Drosophila melanogaster: one gene and its partners. The main gene of each other region encodes a partner of the protein of the gene in region 2 in a complex. Each region holds a gene or a part of one and is shown on either strand. Other genes may lie near its edges. The genes, in order: Gem4c, Smn and rig.

Region 1 (6,472 bases), on a different chromosome or scaffold from region 2:
AGTACTGCGTCCCTTATTTATGCAATTAAATGTCGAGGACAAGATGGAAGTACTGCTATTGCGCGATGAGCAAAACGTTACCCAAGGATTTAATTTCAAGGCTCCCGATCATCGGGAGCGTCGCATACGCTTCTTTAATCAATTGGATTATAATAAGCGCTTCCCGATAACCAAATTTCTAGTACTGTGCTTTGAGAACGCAAGACAGACCTGGATTGATTTCTCCCACTTGGGCGTGACGCATACTCGCTTCTCGAAGCTATTCTGGCACATAGCTCAGTCTTGTCCCAAGCATGCTGCTTTTCATATTTCCGCCTGTGCCGATAACATCTTGGTGAACGAGCAACTACTTCAAAAGCCGTATGCCTTGCAGTTTACACTCTACCTATATGGCCACCGACAGATCCTCAACGGTCTCTACACGTCAGCGCGACAACTGTGCGTTAGTTTGAAAGACGGACGGTGTCCCTACGGAGAGGATGAGCTTAGGCAGGCGCAAAATAGGTTCCTAGACGCGTGTGCCTACGGTTTGGCCAAGTTTATAGAGCCCATGAACTTGCCCAGCTTGCAGTTAATCTTGAAACTGCTCAAGCAGATTAGTCTGGGTGAAAGCAATCTAATCACCCGAGGCACTGCAGAGTTAAATGCACTCGAAAAGGAGCACCCGAAATTGGAGAACGGAGACGATGCACCAGCTGTCAAGGTGGCCAAGCACTACACATATCTGAATGCCAGCTTGCCAGAGTGGCGTTTGAAACACTGGAAGCTGATCTCGCATGTCATGAAAACCATTGATGCCCTACGCTGGGACTTGGCCACCTTTGAAGATTTCCGGGTGGATAATTTAGAACTGGCGGTGTGGTATTGGCAGGACGGTCTGTCTCATCTGACATTCCTAGGCACTGGTGCGCTCTTATAAATGTAAGTCCAAGACGAAAGCCTACTAATTATTGCTCTTTCACAGAATGCCGCCAGAGGATCTTGAACCAAGTGAACAGTTTAAAGCACAAGGGCTTTTGGCTCATCTACCTTAAAGAAGACACCTTAAAGGACACACGCTCCTTTCTCAAATTGCTAACTCAGTCCAGTGCACAGGAGGCTAACGATCTCTTCAACAAGCTCCTTAAAAAAAGGGCCGATTGTGCTGTTATGGGCGATCTTAGCGATGCAGTGGTCAAGGTGAACAGCGAGTCCGCTTTCATGGCCTTTAGATTCCTATTTCGAGAATATTTGATCGCCTTCCGGAGCCACGCCAAACACAATAAGACCATCACGAAGCGCCAGCATTGGGATCATTTGATGGCCGTTGTGGCCAAGGCTCCATTCTCCATTCGCAACGAGATTATGAAGCTAGCTAGTAAAGCCTTCGCTGTGCGATTCGGCATAAATATCCAGGAACAGCAGGCGGCCAAGTGTTAAGGAGATGCTGTTAGAAGTGTAATTTTCTTAAGCCAAATCGAAATTCCGCCGCTTGTCCAACACTTTAATTCTTAGGCAGTCAGATCTCTATATGACTAAAAACATATATAATATTCATAACGCTAGGATTGAACATCAGAATAATTTGATATCAGATTATTTTACAACTTTGTATGTCCTTTAAAAGGGCGACTGTATGCACATAACAAATGTACCACTACCATGCAAATTTTTTGTCTTACTAAAAATACTTTGGCAAGCAAGTGAAGTTATTCAGCTGAAAATTAATAAAATTTTGCATGTTCTTTTTTTTTCGTATTATTATGTATTATATATATAATATACAAAACGCTATGATTGAACATCAGAATAATTTGATATCAGGTTATTTTACAACTTTGTGTGTCCTTAAGGCCGACTATATTTACATAAAATATGTAATACTACCATCAAATACAAATTTGTGTTCTATTAAATAAATGCTTTGGCAAGCTTAAAATTATTGTAATTTTGCATGTTCTTATTTTTATTCGTATTTTTATGTATTACTTCGACTGCTTTGCTTCCTGTTGCAAAATTGTAACTTAAAACTAGGAAAATTTATTTTAATACATTTTTAAATTTCATGTACTCGTTATGTTATAAATTTAACTAATTTATATTCTGTCAAAAGCTGAATGGCATTATTCAGGGAAAGGAAAATTTTGGTGCAAATTGTTATTAATAACATTTTCAAATTACCTAAATAAAAAAAAAAATAGAAAAAATATCTTGTCTTAAAAAACACTATATATATTTTACAAGGTAATTTAACGACCAATGCTTGACAAGTATCGAAAAGATTTCAAACTCAAATGCCGCATGCGAATCGCATTATTTTAAATACATTTGCTAAATAGGACCACTGTTTAAAAAACTGCAGTTGACTTTGGAGAAGTCGCAATATTTATAATGTCAATTATTAATTATCGAATAAAACATTACAATAATAATACAAATAATTAATTATCGAATAATACATTACAATACTTTATAAAATATCTTCATTTAATTTTCAGCTGAGCAAAATACAAAATATCATATGAAAATGTTTATAAATAAAGTTAAAGTTAAATCATAGCAAGCAGTGGACAAGTCATATTAGTATCTATCTACATCAGAGAGTCTATTACAAAGCGAAATTTTTTGTTGTAGGGACATTTTCATTTTCAAAAAATATTCCTTGCACGCAAGATAATCGGTACGCACCGGTAAACTATCGATTTTCGATAGTCATCTGACAGAAGACGCACATAAAATTGAATTCCTTCGGAAGAGTTTTGACGAAACGCGAAATTTCGGCAGCACGATGATAACTGCTGAGAAGCACCCGCTGGACAATTGCCAGTTGTTTGTCCAGCTGAAGAAAATATTCCATGACAACAACGAACAGGCCAAGTGTCTGAAAGATATGATTTACTGGAGTGGTAAGTGAAGTACCAGAGGTTAGTGCCCAAATATGAACATTGTTTGTTCTCAGGAAACGATGAGCACATTGAGAAGATCTGCGACCAAGTGACGGACCTGCTGGAGGAGCACGATCTAATCATACAGCCGCCAGACACAATGGATCCTTTTGCTATGAATCAACTGCGTGGACTACTGGTGTACCTGGTGCTGAACACCGCACACGACTATTTCTTGTGCAAATCGCAGTGGAGCGCCAATGTCATGCATTTGTGTAACCAGCTTCCGCCTATCCCACTGTTCTTGACCATCGCAATAGCCGTTAACTGCTGTCTCATGGAGCCGCTGGAGGAATTCCTTGCTTGTGGACCCCGCTGGCTGACCATCCAGTATTTTGAGGCATTCAATGAGGCTCTGTCGGTCATTAATTCAGATTGCGTGGAAACACTACCGCTGCTCTCTGCCGCCCTCAGAGCAGCCGGTCGCGCAATTGTCAACTGCAATTTGCCCGCAGAAAATAAGCAACTGCTGCGCCAGATAGCCTGCATGGAACATCGTCATATCTTGGACTCTAAACAGCGCCTCCATACGCTGCCGCGTCCATCCACTCGAAAGATTTACCTGGCCAAGGCTATGGATCACCTTATAGAAGTCCTTTTGTATACCCTCAATGATCCATTAAAGCGGGAGAAACCAAATTGCTTCGCCGTCTACAGCCAAATAACCGAGGACATCAGTGACAGCAACTCAAGCGATCCCATGCCTGATCTGCGGCATTTCGCCCAAATACTGCTAGACGTTCTGCGGCGTATCTTTCAGCTCGTTAGCGTAGACACGTATATGTATTGGCATGAAATGAAATCGAAAAGTGCTTTGTATAACTGCCAGGAGCTAATCTGTAGACAGACGGCAGAATTGCTTAAAGTACTCCAATCAGATAATATGCTCGGAGAGCATCCGGTTTGCAAGCAGATGCAGAGCTTTGCGGATGCAGCAAAAACATTGGAGCAGCGCGTTGCCGAGATGAGAATGGGTGAACTCTTAGTCTTTCTCGATTCCGGTATGGCCACCGATGAGGAGTTGCTCGCCGGGCTGGACAATCTCTTTAGCCGCTTCATAGCCTTTGGTAACGATGAGTGCGTGGAAACGATGGCAAATCATTTAATTATGCTCACCAAGAAACATGCCCAGATAATACTCAGTTTCCTGGGTCAGGTGGTGGAGTCCGAAATGGTGGTCGAGGACGAGGGCATATCCGTTACGGAAGTAAATCAGGGGGATGACGAGGACGAGACCTCGTCCAACGATGATTACGAAGAGCTGCTAAGCCTAGTACTGCGTCCCTTATTTATGCAATTAAATGTCGAGGACAAGATGGAAGTACTGCTATTGCGCGATGAGCAAAACGTTACCCAAGGATTTAATTTCAAGGCTCCCGATCATCGGGAGCGTCGCATACGCTTCTTTAATCAATTGGATTATAATAAGCGCTTCCCGATAACCAAATTTCTAGTACTGTGCTTTGAGAACGCAAGACAGACCTGGATTGATTTCTCCCACTTGGGCGTGACGCATACTCGCTTCTCGAAGCTATTCTGGCACATAGCTCAGTCTTGTCCCAAGCATGCTGCTTTTCATATTTCCGCCTGTGCCGATAACATCTTGGTGAACGAGCAACTACTTCAAAAGCCGTATGCCTTGCAGTTTACACTCTACCTATATGGCCACCGACAGATCCTCAACGGTCTCTACACGTCAGCGCGACAACTGTGCGTTAGTTTGAAAGACGGACGGTGTCCCTACGGAGAGGATGAGCTTAGGCAGGCGCAAAATAGGTTCCTAGACGCGTGTGCCTACGGTTTGGCCAAGTTTATAGAGCCCATGAACTTGCCCAGCTTGCAGTTAATCTTGAAACTGCTCAAGCAGATTAGTCTGGGTGAAAGCAATCTAATCACCCGAGGCACTGCAGAGTTAAATGCACTCGAAAAGGAGCACCCGAAATTGGAGAACGGAGACGATGCACCAGCTGTCAAGGTGGCCAAGCACTACACATATCTGAATGCCAGCTTGCCAGAGTGGCGTTTGAAACACTGGAAGCTGATCTCGCATGTCATGAAAACCATTGATGCCCTACGCTGGGACTTGGCCACCTTTGAAGATTTCCGGGTGGATAATTTAGAACTGGCGGTGTGGTATTGGCAGGACGGTCTGTCTCATCTGACATTCCTAGGCACTGGTGCGCTCTTATAAATGTAAGTCCAAGACGAAAGCCTACTAATTATTGCTCTTTCACAGAATGCCGCCAGAGGATCTTGAACCAAGTGAACAGTTTAAAGCACAAGGGCTTTTGGCTCATCTACCTTAAAGAAGACACCTTAAAGGACACACGCTCCTTTCTCAAATTGCTAACTCAGTCCAGTGCACAGGAGGCTAACGATCTCTTCAAAAAGCTCCTTAAAAAAAGGGCCGATTGTGCTGTTATGGGCGATCTTAGCGATGCAGTGGTCAAGGTGAACAGCGAGTCCGCTTTCATGGCCTTTAGATTCCTATTTCGAGAATATTTGATCGCCTTCCGGAGCCACGCCAAACACAATAAGACCATCACGAAGCGCCAGCATTGGGATCATTTGATGGCCGTTGTGGCCAAGGCTCCATTCTCCATTCGCAACGAGATTATGAAGCTAGCTAGTAAAGCCTTCGCTGTGCGATTCGGCATAAATATCCAGGAACAGCAGGCGGCCAAGTGTTAAGGAGATGCTGTTAGAAGTGTAATTTTCTTAAGCCAAATCGAAACTCCGCCGCTTGTCCAACACTTTAATTCTTAGGCAGTCAGATCTCTATATGACTAAAAACATATATAATATTCATAACGCTAGGATTGAACATCAGAATAATTTGATATCAGATTATTTTACAACTTTGTATGTCCTTTAAAAGGACGACTGTATGCACATAACAAATGTACCACTACCATGCAAATTTTTTGTCTTACTAAAAATACTTTGGCAAGCAAGTGAAGTTATTCAGCTGAAAATTAATAAAATTTTGCATGTTCTTTTTTTTCGTATTATTATGTATTATATATATAATATACAAAACGCTATGATTGAACATCAGAATAATTTGATATCAGGTTATTTTACAACTTTGTGTGTCCTTAAGGCCGACTATATTTACATAAAATATGTAATACTACCATCAAATACAAATTTGTGTTCTATTAAATAAATGCTTTGGCAAGCTTAAAATTATTGTAATTTTGCATGTTCTTATTTTTATTCGTATTTTTATGTATTACTTCGACTGCTTTGCTTCCTGTTGCAAAATTGTAACTTAAAACTAGGAAAATTTATTTTAATACATTTTTAAATTTCATGTACTCGTTATGTTATAAATTTAACTAATTTATATTCTGTCAAAAGCTGAATGGCATTATTCAGGGAAAGGAAAATTTTGGTGCAAATTGTTATTAATAACATTTTCAAATTACCTAAATAAAAAAAAATAGAAAAAATATCTTGTCTTAAAAAACACTATATATATTTTACAAGGTAATTTAACGACCAATGCTTGACAAGTATCGAAAAGTCGCTAAACTAAAAATATC
Region 2 (3,608 bases):
GGATGACGTCCACGGAGAGCAGCTCCAGTTCCGTGTGAAAGTCGGATACCCGGTTGCCAGACAAGAGGTACAGCAGATTCAGACCGAGCAGCTTATACTTGCTCTCCGATTCGCCAATGATCTTAGCGTAGTCATAGTAATAGCACTTCAGCTGCGCCATGTAGCGCTCGAAGGCGAGCAGGTCCTTGCTGAGCACGCTATGCTCCACGGCCACCTCAAGCACGCTCCTAGCCAGGATCAATTGCTTCTTGGAGCTCTGGGCATCGTTTCCGTCCGTCGGCAGGAAGGCCATCTTCACGAGCGCTACTTTCAGTTGATCCAGCAGCTGGCCGCATTTGACGGTGTTTGGTGGCCGCTTTGACCACTCGGCGGTCAGTTCTTTGTACAGCGATTCCACGTTGGCCATTCTTTAGATTGGTATATTGAAGCTTAAATGTTTTCTGCAAATTCCCAAGATGATTTTCGCTTTTTTTTAGAGATGGCAATTGTTGTAGGGTAAAGCGATAGGACAATCGTTATCGGAACAGTTATCGATTGTCAAGTTACCACAGGGCTGGGAATATTATTTAAGTGTAAGTTTAAGTTGAAAAATACATTTTTTAGACGAACTCTATATAGTTTAACAGTTTACAACTGAAAGCTTTATGATTTGATCCAAGGGGTATTGTATTTCCTTTGTGCTTTAATATCGATATATTTTAACAAACTATCTAATGGAGTTTAAATCTAAATTTTCGCATTTAAGCTCGGACTGTTTATTCAATTAGTGATTGTCTCAGTATAGTTAAAAATTTCGGGTATTGAAATCACGTCTATTTGACCTTGGGCATAAGTTTTGTGTCAAGAATAACTTAAATTATTAAGCGATTCAGAACTCTCATTCTTTGTGGGTCTTTAGATGGTACCGCAGTTGCGTGTTCGTGAAATAGCTTTTGGAGCACTTGGTGCATGGGAACGGTCGCTCTCCTGTGTGGCTCATCATGTGAATTCGAAGATGCGCATTCTGGGTAAAACGCCTTAGGACATTGGGAGCACTTGAAGGGGCGTTCGCCTGTGTTGATTATTAGATGCCTTTTAAGATTGGAAGCCAGCGTAAAATTCGATGTACAATGGGGGCACCGTTTTTCAGTGTGTATTGCAATATGTCCCGAAAGATGCGATACGCTCTTCAAAGCCTTTGCTGCTAAGCAGCAAGTGCTGCTTAAGTGCTGAGTTTATCCAAAACCTCGTTGGGCAATGAGGACATTGAAGCAGCTTATCATTATCACGTCCTTTATTTTGCAATCTATGGTTTTCACAACTATCATAGTCTTCGTCTATTACCTCAATATTGACTTGGCTATTGGATTGATCGCTGTCACAGTCCACGAACTGATCATCGTCTTTAAAGAGGCTCGTTCTACACTAGACAACATTCCCATTGGATCATGCCACTGCCTCGCCAATCTTCAACTACACTTTCGAGTTCGACAAAATGCTGAAAAGCACCTCCATCGATACTCGATTCCCCATCCTCGGAATAAGATACCTTGCGGAATCGGGATTCCTCCATTAACTAAACGTAAAATTATTAGCTCCTCTGGTGGGTTTTTCTAAACTCGAACGCATTTTGTGCATCTTGGCAGCAGGAGGTGCAAAATGTTTCGGGTAGATGATCGCCTTTTTCCACTTTGAGGCCAGTGCACTCGGAAATGATTGACGCTATTGAAGCTTCAGTGCCGTGCTTAACTTCAAAAATATTGAACTCGTTTTCACATTGCCCGAGGCAAATTCGGCACACCAACCCCAACTCCATACCTCCGAAATTGAGTTAAAAAATTTAGCGATCTCGCTTTCAGGTCGGATCGATCAATTTATTGTTTGTTTATTGTGTTAAAGATGCATGCTGATAAGTATCGATACTATCGTGCGGTTAATGGGGACGATAGGTACAACACCACTCACAATAAAGTATTTTTAGTGGAAAGTATAAAAAGAAGACTTCAATTAAAACAATAAATACAATACAATTACATTGGAAGTATTCTGATTGCATTGTGAATGTTGGCCACAAAGTATGAAAACTTTTTTCAGCTTTACTGAATTTAAATATTTCTTAACCATTTCGTTCGCTTTCAGAATAATATAATACCCAGAATGACTTCATAAATTTTATCACATCTTAGTTTGAATGTACACCTTTTAGCGATAGTTTCATGTTTCGGCCTGTGCTGCTAAGCGGTGATTCGCCTGCGCTTTCCAACACACAGCAAATTCGCATAAAAGCGAAACTTGGTTCTTCCTTTAAAAACGTGATACTTGCCTGATAGGATAGAAAGCCGAGATGTCCGACGAGACGAACGCCGCGGTGTGGGATGACTCCTTGCTGGTGAAGACGTACGACGAGTCGGTGGGACTGGCCCGCGAAGCTTTGGCCCGCCGCCTCGCCGATTCCACCAACAAGCGCGAGGAGGAGAACGCTGCCGCAGCTGAAGAAGAAGCTGGCGAGATCTCGGCCACTGGTGGGGCTACCAGCCCGGAACCAGTATCCTTCAAAGTAGGCGACTACGCCAGGGCCACCTACGTGGATGGTGTGGACTACGAGGGCGCTGTGGTGTCTATTAACGAGGAGAAGGGCACCTGCGTACTCCGCTATTTGGGCTATGAGAACGAGCAGGAGGTGTTGCTCGTGGACCTCCTGCCGTCCTGGGGCAAGCGTGTGCGTCGCGAGCAGTTCCTTATCGCCAAGAAGGATGAGGACGAGCAGTTGAGCCGCCCTAAGGCATCCGCTGGTAGTCATTCAAAGACTCCCAAGTCATCCAGAAGGAGTAGGATCTCTGGCGGACTGGTTATGCCGCCCATGCCACCAGTACCGCCCATGATTGTCGGACAAGGGGACGGCGCCGAACAGGACTTCGTGGCCATGCTCACCGCCTGGTACATGTCCGGCTATTATACGGGCCTCTACCAGGGAAAGAAAGAAGCCAGCACCACTAGCGGAAAGAAAAAGACACCCAAGAAGTAATTCCATCTTATCTCATCATCACATCACATCTTTTCGAAAGACTTGTAGATATTAAGAAAACAGAACGATTAAATTTATTATATTAAAGAGTCAGTATCGTCATGGTGGGATCTCGTTTCAATTGCTACATAAATGGAAAAAAAAAATGCCGAGGCAGGCAGAAATTTAGGTTGACATTCAATATGGCCACTTGAGAAAATCAGTGCTTCGATACATTTCGTAGCGAGCGGTTGAGTTTGTAGTATAACGGAATTTTCATAACCTTCGATAGATCGTAGAATGGCGATATTTTAGCTGGCAGTATACAAATCAGAAAAGAAAAAAAACGGATATTTTGATTGGTAAGCAGACTTTCTTACACTGCAATAGATTTCTTTAACTTTGGGTATCGTGTAGCTGTTTTAAAATCAGAAGCTGAAAAATTTTATTGATAAAAAATAAGATATAATGATAAAGAGAGTACATGGTAGTATTGCCTAATTAACAAACTAGCTAAAAATGCGCTTGGACCTTTTAACCGTCCATATTCAACACTGCCAAATGCATCCTTTATTTTCACAGGCTTACGATTTGAAATATAAGTGGTAAATCCTTCTCTTTTGCA
Region 3 (8,638 bases), on a different chromosome or scaffold from region 2:
GTGCAGTTGCGGTATTTTCTTAGATAGGAGTATCCACGCAGCATCTCATTGTCCAGAACGCAGCTGTTAAGTGATTCAGAAAGGATGCTTAAACATTTGTCTATAGTTTAGTTTTAGTCACTTACATCAGAGCTGCTGCTGCAAAGTTACCCGTCCCCTCCAGATGCTCGAGCCAATTGTTAATTACGGTCTTGATCAGGGGATCCGTTGCTGGCAAGCAAATACGCGCATGTACAAGGGCCTCCTTATAGTATTCATTGGCCAGGAACAGTTTGATGGCTTCCGATTGCATTCCTTGACTAAAAAGATACGTAGCTGCGTGCATGATGTAGCCTTTTTCCTCCATCTGCTTGGCATAAGCGCGACAGCAGTCCTGCCAAAGTCTGCAAGAAATATAGACTAAAGACAAAACCGATTTACAACAAAAACGTAGAAACTTACGTAAAAGAAACGGAGGGAGCCAGCGAAACATGGCGTTCGGTAAGCGTCTTGTTGGCTATATGCTGCTCCAGCTCCTCGCGTAATTTGAACGTGGACATGGCCAGGCAAAGTGGAGCTATGTCTTTGGTGTTTGAGTGCTTCAGATTGGTCACTGAAATATTACATTTATCGTTAGCATTTTAAATACTATAAGTCAGTTAGTGAAATTACACTCGGTTGCAATGAGCTCCTTGGCCATCACTTTTGAGCTGAACAGCTTCGATATGAGCACCGACTTGTCGATCTTGGCAGAGTCTTCTGTAAGAACAATGGCCAGCTTCTCAAGGGCACTTTTGTTGAGCTCCTTCTGGGTAAGGTAAAGACAGGTGCGGCTATGCTGTTGGTAAATATGTTATTGGGTTTCAGTCGAATCAAGAGCACATGGATAACTTACTGTGAAACTGTCAGGTGACTGCTCTTTACACTTTGGGCATTCTTTGGCACTTCTATTATTTTGCTCCTTGTCCAAGCTAAGCGCTTCCAACATCTCTTCAACAGGAGTTTCTTGCGTACATTTATCGTTGGTTGGATTATCAATAACTGCAGTAACTGACTCCTGAATTTTCTTTTGATCCTTGTTAGCTACGTCAACTTCGAGCTTAGCCGCTGCTTTGCGTTGATCCCGGCGCTGCCGTTTCTTTTCAGCCGCTGTGAGAACTGGAGCGTATGGCTGGGTCAGGGATTTGCTAGCCCACTTAACATTTAACAGAGCATCCACCTTGGGACAGATGCTTTTCTCATCGCCTTCCAGCGCGTCCTTAATGTCAATTAGCTCCACGGAGAGAGCTTTTCCCGAGCACATAATGATGTTCTCGTTGGTGGGCAAAAACATTCCACACCACATGGGGCAGTGGTAGGTGATGGTTAGCGGTGGCTTCTCTGGCGCATTGCAGTTCCACAGGCACACCTTTCCCTCGATATGAAAGGTGAGCAGCAAGTGCTTCTGGGTATGACTCCATCTCATCGAGGTAATCGACGCCTTCTCTGTGTTTGCCGTAAATGTGTGAAGCGTTTTCCAATTGCGCTCCGTGGGCTGAAACTCCATCACGTACACGGACCTATCGTTGCCCGACACTGCAAACTTATTGCTGTCCAGCGGGCACCAGGCGATATCGGTCACATAACGAGCAAACAAAGCGGATTGGCGGATAAATGGAGACCACGACTTCTCCATTCCCGAATCGCGCTCATGGATCTGCAGCAGTCCATCATCGGTGCCAACAAAAAGGAAAGAATCGCGGATGCTGAGGTAACTGGGTCGAGAAATGCAGTTCACAATTGTGGGCTCTGTAAGAAAATAATAATGGCATATTTTAAATTAACTTTATATGTATCTTTGACTAGCTTTACCTTTAAGTAATACATACATCCATTAACTTAAAACACAATTAAATCTAGTCAGAATGACGAAAAACTCTTTGTTTTAAGTCCATTGTTGTCTTTTAGGTCCGCACCTAATTGTGCGATCATTTTAATGATTTGTGGGAAACAATTAATTAAAACAAGCCTAAAAGTCTCGAATAACAAAAGCTCGATGGCATGAGTAATTTGTGCTACTTGAAGAAAATGAAATCGATTAAACTGTAGCCAAGGGCAACAAATATCACACGTATCAAAAACTTAGCAAGCAAACCACATTACACATTTCCTTTCATCGAAATAGGTTAAATTGTTCTGTTTACCAAAATGCCGCGACACAAAACTCTAGTGAGCATTGGTCATCGTATTATGAAGCGCTTCAAACAGTTGGATCTCAGGGTCGACAAGGAGTTTGTCATCTACATGGTTCATTTGCTGGCAAGAGATCGGCGCAAAGGTCTCCTGAAGTACGACCTCAATAAGCCAACCGCCTGTGCCATTGAGGGTTTCGTGAATACAATTGTGGATAGCTATGTCAATTCGAAAGATTGCACTATGGCCAACATGAAGATGGCTTGGGTAATGAAAAAGGGAGTAACCATAGACCTTGAATACGTCAAGAAGAAGTACGAGGAAAAGTTCCAAACCGAACTGCAGCTGCTAATCAAGGATATCCTTCAGTATCCCGAGACTTGCAGTAAAGTGCAGTTGGACCAGCTCTTCGCAAAGATGCAGGTCTTCATAGTGGCCTGCTACAGTCTGGGCTCGCCCAAGAATCATGTTCTGCTTAAGCTGACTGCCCAGGCTCTCAACAGCGTCATCGGTCGAAGTGACCTACAGAATTATGTCCTGAAGAAGAAGTACCATCGGCTAGAGTATCTTCAACGCTTGTCGGCGACCGTGGGCGGCATTGTGATCTATAACAACGATGGCCCCGATGGAGATCGGGAGAATGTTAGAAGCGGTATGTGCATATAGGGCAAACCATTTCATATTTCATATCTGCTGTATACTTCTTAGTGGTCGATGATCTGGAAATGGCCCAGAAGAACACGGAAGCCGCATTTGCAGCCAGTATGGGAAGGGCGGTCAAGATGCAGTCCACTTGCCAGGCGGCACTGGATGACCTCATAAACATAGATCATAAGGACGAGACCTTGACCTACCGCGTGCCCCTCGAACATTTGGATCGGCTTAACCAGTTTGCGGCGACCTACTTTATGCTCCATCGCTGTCTGACGACTCTGAACGAACATTACCAGAAGACAGTGTACCTAATTGAAGTGGAGCATAAGCGATATCAATGCGTGATCTGCAAGATTGATGATACCCTATCCATGCGCACGGCTATTGATTCGGAGCTTATATTTGTAAGTGATGTATTCATTTAAAAGATGAGAATTTCTCCAATTTCGTTTCCCGCTTTCAGCCGCACTTTGTGTACCTCTCTCAGGTGTGGGGCAATCTGAACAACTACCTGAACCACATTGTTGAGTTAAACAAGCTGAGGGAGCAGGTGGAGGCATTGGTCGTCGACGACTTGATGACCCTGACAAAGGCTACGATTGCCGAGCTGCAGGCGCTTCATAAGCGGATAAAGAAGCCCAAGGTCTGCAGCTTTGAGGAACGCATGGATGCCGTGAAGGAGTTGCAGACCGATGGCAACTTTTGCAAGCTCAACAAGGCAGATATAAAGGAGTTTTGCTCTCTAGCCATGACCATTACCAACGGCCTGCTTATGCCGGCCCAGGTGACCAGAAAGCTGTGCTCCAATGTGGACATTACATTTGGTTTCCGGGACCCAAGATACGCTCGATTCGCGGAGCTGCGATTTGAGCCTTTCATAGCCGCCTTTAGAAAAGTGGTTTTCAACAATGCGAACCTGGCTCTGCTGTTCAAATTGGACGATGCGCTAATAGAGCAGGAACTGCAGAATCTGGTAGTTGAGCCACCAAAGCAGACAGATTTTGAGTGTCAAACCGAAATGGTCGTCACCAACGACCTAACGCCAGCAAACTGGATAAACGTAACATGGAATGCGTGGGATTATCATCGGGAGACAATCCACTTGGCCAATATACGTAAGAAGCAGACCAACGACGCGCAGACCAACATTAGTTACGGAAGGCGCAACGCACAGAATCAAACCTACAACTGTCGGCAACATAAGTAGAGAACGGCTAAGAACATATACTCACCGATTTTCGATTTTCTTAAATCAAAGAAACCTAGAACACGATTCACAATAAAGTATATAAAGTGGTCCTGCCACACAAGCGAGTAGACTTCTTTTTTGTGCGGCGTCCGTAAGTGTGTCTTTACTTTCATGCGCTCCACATCCAGGATGCCCACCTGTTGTTGAGTTGTATATTTAGGTTCAATATCCAATAAAATAGACGAAATCAAAGCCATACCGTTCCGTCGAAGGTGCCAAAGGCCAGTTCCAAGCAGTTTGGACTCCAAGCCAGGCAGTAGACGTTGCTGGACACATAAACGCTGTCGATGGGCAGGCAGCTGGTGGTGAGCTTCGATATATCGAAGAAGGCCACACGGCGATCCGAACAACCCAAAGCGATTCTAAACGAAAAACAGTTTAGCAACGTTTGCGAATGGCATATTATCTTATTAGCTTACTTGTTCATATCATCTGGACACTCGGCCATCGCTCGCACTCCAAACGCCACTGTTCCGTAAAAGTCAGCCATCCGGCCAGTTTTAGGATTCATCATTCCAATCTGGCGATTGTTTCTGCACAACCATATCATCTCTTTGCTGGAGTCACAGGCAAAGGACACGATGTCTTGCAAATGGCAGCTGTGTGATTTATCCTTGCTGATCTTGTAGCGTAGCATCTTGCGCTCGAACTCCACGGACCAAAAGAATAACTGATGGCGACTCAGGGAAACAATGACATGGTTGTTCAGCCAGTAGACGTTGTTAAGCTTGCCTGAAGAAAAGATCCCAGTTGAATGCTTGCTTTCAATGGTTTGATTCTTTCCACTTACCCGCCGTCTTGCTTTTGCTGTAGTTCTTGCCAGCATGCGCTCCCGTATTGGTATTCCAGATCATCATCACCTCATCGCCGTCAATGGACACGAGCAGAGTTTCCAAGTGGGTGCTGTTCACGGATGTCAAGCTGATGGTCTCCGCGCTGATGGCCGGCACAACTTGGAGATTACTCTGAGGCTCAGACTTGGTCTGCGGTGTTCCTGAAGCATGTACCTCGGCCTGGTGGTAGATGTGATGCAATACTTCTCTTTTGGGCTTTGCTGCCTCGCCATCGACGATCACGGCATCATCACTGGACGAGCTGTACTGGATGACCTCCAGACTGCCCTCGGTCGAGTCGCTGGCATCGTTCTTGTTGCTAATGGTGCTGGCATCACTTAAGGGACCCGTAGGCTTTGTGGGCTCGCAGTCATGCAGCGTGACCTCCACGTGCTGCGTTTTATCCTCCTGGCGACTGGCTAAGAGTTCGGCTTTCACACTCTCGCAGGCCTCAACGAAATCTAAGACAGCGGCACCAGCTGGCTTCTCTAGACCCACAAATTCGCCGCCACAATCCTCTGAAGATTTGCGGCGGCGTTCAGCTATAGGTGCACCGAACTCGTACTCAAGATGATCAAAGTTGTATATGTCGAAAGGGTCGTCGGATTCGGCTGCCTTCGATTTGGTCAGTGGTGGTGGCTTTGTCTTGGGTTTCTCCTCCTGGCCGCCATTGCGGCTTCGCCACTCTTCAGCACTTAACGCCAGATTATTGGTTTTTTCGTCCTCGGCAGCAGGCACCTCCCGCCAGGCTAAGCCGCATATGGGCGCTTTGTGGCCGTGGAACTTGTAGACGATGTTCATTTTGCGCAGATCGCAGACCAGCACATTACCCATAGCCGTTCCCACAGCGAACAAATTGTCATTGTAGGGCGAGCAGCGCACCATAGTGAGTTGGTGATTTCGGGGCGAGATGAAAGTGGAGCGACGGCAGTAGGTGTTGGATGCCACACAATAGATGACCAGATCACTGGCGTCCATGGATAGAATGTTACCATTGGCCAGGTAGCTCATCAGCACGGAGTTGGTAGTGTGGTGCACGACGCGCACATCCCGCGCCTCGTGCTGGTGCTGATGGGCCTTGTGCCCGATGACGGCTTCGCCCAATGCGCAGTCCCACACCTGAACGCTTAGATCGTCGCCCACAATGGCGAATGGCTTGGTCGGCCCACCGTTGCCCAAGCCCCACATGGGACTAACGTCCAGGGCCAGTATGTTGATCCGCGTCGACATGGTCACCACTTGGGGCTGCTCTCCGTTTGCCGGCGGCGCGGATATGTAGTTGATGCAGCGAATGCCGGCGTACAGCAAACCGCCGTCGGGAGCAGCGGCCGCCAAAGATACGTTGCCCGGCGGTGTGGGCACATTGTGGTACATCACCTGCGAGTTCATGGCGAACAATAAGGACTTGGCATCTGCAGGATGAAGGAATATTTCCCGCTAACAGTTGGCGTCGTTCGGGGAAAAAACTTCTGTAAAGCTGTTAGTGTTAGGCAGCTTCTTAAACTTTGCCAGCGATGCCACCTGGAAGGCACGGAACTTAACAGTTAATTAAAATTGATAATAATTAAAATATAAATTTGTTATTTTCGAACTTGTATTTATAACAAAAATCTGGATCTGCTTTATATAAATAATTTAAAAATATAACTAAGTACCTTATGCTACAAAGCCTAAAATCTAGGGATCACGTTAGCTTTAGTATATTTAAATTACCCGCTATTTACCACAGACGTTTTTTGTCTATCTGCCAACTCTATGCAATCCATTTCCTGTGAATGGCAACCAGCAGGTAGAGAGGAAGAAGAAGACACACAATAACAACGCAAAAAAAAAAGGTAGAAAAATCTAGCAAATTCTAAAAGTCTCCGTAAAAATAAAATACAATCGGCCACAATGGAAGCAAAGCGCGAGAGAAAGTCATCCCTGGTACGTACCTTGTAGATATATGCGAAGAAGAAAGAAAACCCTGATAGAAGTGCGATTTTCAGGCACCACTTTCGCCATGTCCAATTCCGGATATTACCGATGACGATTTGGTGAGCATTTCGGTAAGGGATCTTAATCGGACCCTCAAGATGCGTGGCCTGAACCGCGAGGAGATCGTTCGGATGAAGCAGCGCCGGAGAACCTTAAAGAATCGCGGATACGCAGCCAGTTGCCGCATCAAGAGAATCGAACAGAAGGACGAGCTGGAGACTAAGAAGTCGTACGAGTGGACGGAACTGGAGCAGATGCACGAGGACAACGAGCAGGTGCGCCGCGAGGTGTCCAACTGGAAGAACAAGTACAAGGCGCTGCTGCAGTTCGCCATCCAGAACGAGATACCCATTCCCAGCGAGCTGGAGGGCTGCTGAACGATTGCCCAGTCACATTCCTGTTTCTGTCAAAATTACAATAAACCCAAAACGGAAAAAAACACCTGTAACTAAAGTACAATAGCTGGCAAATATCCTTCCTCAATAAACGTAATCTGCTCAAGAACCTCTGCATCGCCTTTATTGAAGCACCCTGTATTTAGCATAAACAAAACCCGTGTCGGCGCTGCGCTGCGAATGTCATAAGATCCGGAGCGCACAAGGAACTCGGCAAAAGGCTGGTGGTTATGTATTCATCTCGATAGCTCCGCTCTCCAACCAGTTCATCCATGGCATTTCGGTTCTTTGGCAAGTCCTTGCTGTACGCTCTGCCACTTGGCGTCACTTTCCTGGACTGCGTTGGTTATGTGGCCAGGGTGGATGGTGAGTCGTCCGGAGTTTATTCGCTCCATGTTAGTGTGCGCTAATTAATCCACAACTTTTTGCAGGCATCTCCATGCAGCCCGCTCTCAATCCCGTGCCGGATGAAAAGGACTATGTGTTCCTGCTGCGCTGGGGCACCCACAACAGTCAGGTGGAGCGCGGCGACATAATATCGCTCATTTCACCCAAGGATCCCGCCCAGAAGATTATCAAGCGCGTGGTGGGGCTGCAGGGCGACGTCGTGTCCACGCTGGGCTACAAGCACGAGATCGTTCGCGTACCCGAAGGACATTGTTGGGTGGAGGGCGATCACACAGGCCACTCCATGGACAGCAATACCTTTGGACCCGTCGCCCTGGGCCTGATGTCCGCGCGGGCAGTGGCCATCGTGTGGCCACCGGAACGCTGGCGAATACTGGAGAACGAACTGCCGCGGCGACGGAGACCCATACAGGCCTCCAAGAACTCCAGCAACTACTACAACTAGACTGACCAACTGGCGGAGAGCCTGCGCCCAAGATAGTTCCAATTGTGTACATACTGAACCGTATATTTTATAAACAATTTGTTGTGTTCCCGCATGCAAAGCAAAGTAGGATGTTCCAAAGTAAAAATTAAAGTTAAAGCCAAAGGAATAGCTCTTATACTACATCATTTTTAGCTCCCGAATGCCGAACTCCTCCATGAGGCTGAGTGTCGGCTTGAGAGCCACGCCGGCGCGCACTATTTCATAGTAGCCAGGAGTGGCCAGGTCAATGACCGTGGAGGCCAGTCGTCGCTCCTCGGTCAGACCGATTCGACCGGCATCGAAGACGGCGCCCAATTGGGGCCATAGGGAACGGAACTCGGACACCTGCAGACTGCTGGGCGCACTGGAGCGATTGGCGCTGGTCAGGGCCAGGGGCTTCTCCTGCCACACGGCGCACAGGTCGCGCATGAAGTTGAAGTCCGGAATGCGTATGCCGATTTTGGAGGTGCTGGGATTAAGGAAACGGTTGCTCAGCTGGGACGTC

The links.
Region 1: Smn (region 2) and Gem4c share a complex: the UniProt entries of both Drosophila melanogaster proteins name them as parts of the core survival motor neuron (SMN) complex.
Region 3: Smn (region 2) and rig share a complex: the UniProt entries of both Drosophila melanogaster proteins name them as parts of the core survival motor neuron (SMN) complex.

Annotation. Positions count from the first base shown.
Region 1 is NC_004354.4:3,942,489-3,948,960, forward strand, and holds Gem4c (gemin 4c), read left to right. Parts: upstream 1-2,554; 5' UTR 2,555-2,767; coding exon 2,768-2,885; intron 2,886-2,938; coding exon 2,939-5,101; intron 5,102-5,160; coding exon 5,161-5,615; 3' UTR 5,616-5,972; downstream 5,973-6,472. Other genes in the region: Gem4b (gemin 4b), read left to right, coding at 1-905, 965-1,419. UniProt on the Drosophila melanogaster protein: Component of the survival motor neuron (SMN) complex that catalyzes the assembly of small nuclear ribonucleoproteins (snRNPs), the building blocks of the spliceosome, and thereby plays an important role in the splicing of cellular pre-mRNAs.
Region 2 is NT_037436.4:16,579,898-16,583,505, reverse strand, and holds Smn (survival motor neuron), read left to right. Parts: upstream 1-1,958; 5' UTR 1,959-2,054; intron 2,055-2,118; 5' UTR 2,119-2,323; coding exon 2,324-3,004; 3' UTR 3,005-3,108; downstream 3,109-3,608. Other genes in the region: Rpn12 (regulatory particle non-ATPase 12), read right to left, coding at 1-406. UniProt on the Drosophila melanogaster protein: Core component of the survival motor neuron (SMN) complex that plays an essential role in spliceosomal small nuclear ribonucleoprotein (snRNP) assembly in the cytoplasm, is required for pre-mRNA splicing in the nucleus and acts as a chaperone that discriminates target and non-target RNAs of Sm proteins.
Region 3 is NT_033778.4:20,634,306-20,642,943, forward strand, and holds the start of rig (rigor mortis), read right to left. Parts: upstream 6,377-8,638; 5' UTR 6,277-6,376; coding exon 4,845-6,276; intron 4,787-4,844; coding exon 4,474-4,786; intron 4,417-4,473; coding exon 4,254-4,416; intron 4,192-4,253; coding exon 4,038-4,191; exon of another isoform or gene 4,013-4,037; coding exon of another isoform or gene 3,269-4,012; intron 3,210-3,268; coding exon of another isoform or gene 2,860-3,209; intron 2,804-2,859; coding exon of another isoform or gene 2,167-2,803; exon of another isoform or gene 2,087-2,166; intron 1,768-2,086; coding exon 875-1,767; intron 818-874; coding exon 652-817; intron 593-651; coding exon 442-592; intron 384-441; coding exon 126-383; intron 64-125; coding exon 1-63. Other genes in the region: CG13436 (uncharacterized protein), read left to right, coding at 2,167-2,803, 2,860-3,209, 3,269-4,012; maf-S, read left to right, coding at 6,781-6,813, 6,861-7,241; CG11110 (uncharacterized protein), read left to right, coding at 7,532-7,625, 7,691-8,112; Tcs1 (Threonyl-carbamoyl synthesis 1), read right to left, coding at 8,272-8,638. UniProt on the Drosophila melanogaster protein: Component of the survival motor neuron (SMN) complex that catalyzes the assembly of small nuclear ribonucleoproteins (snRNPs), the building blocks of the spliceosome, and thereby plays an important role in the splicing of cellular pre-mRNAs.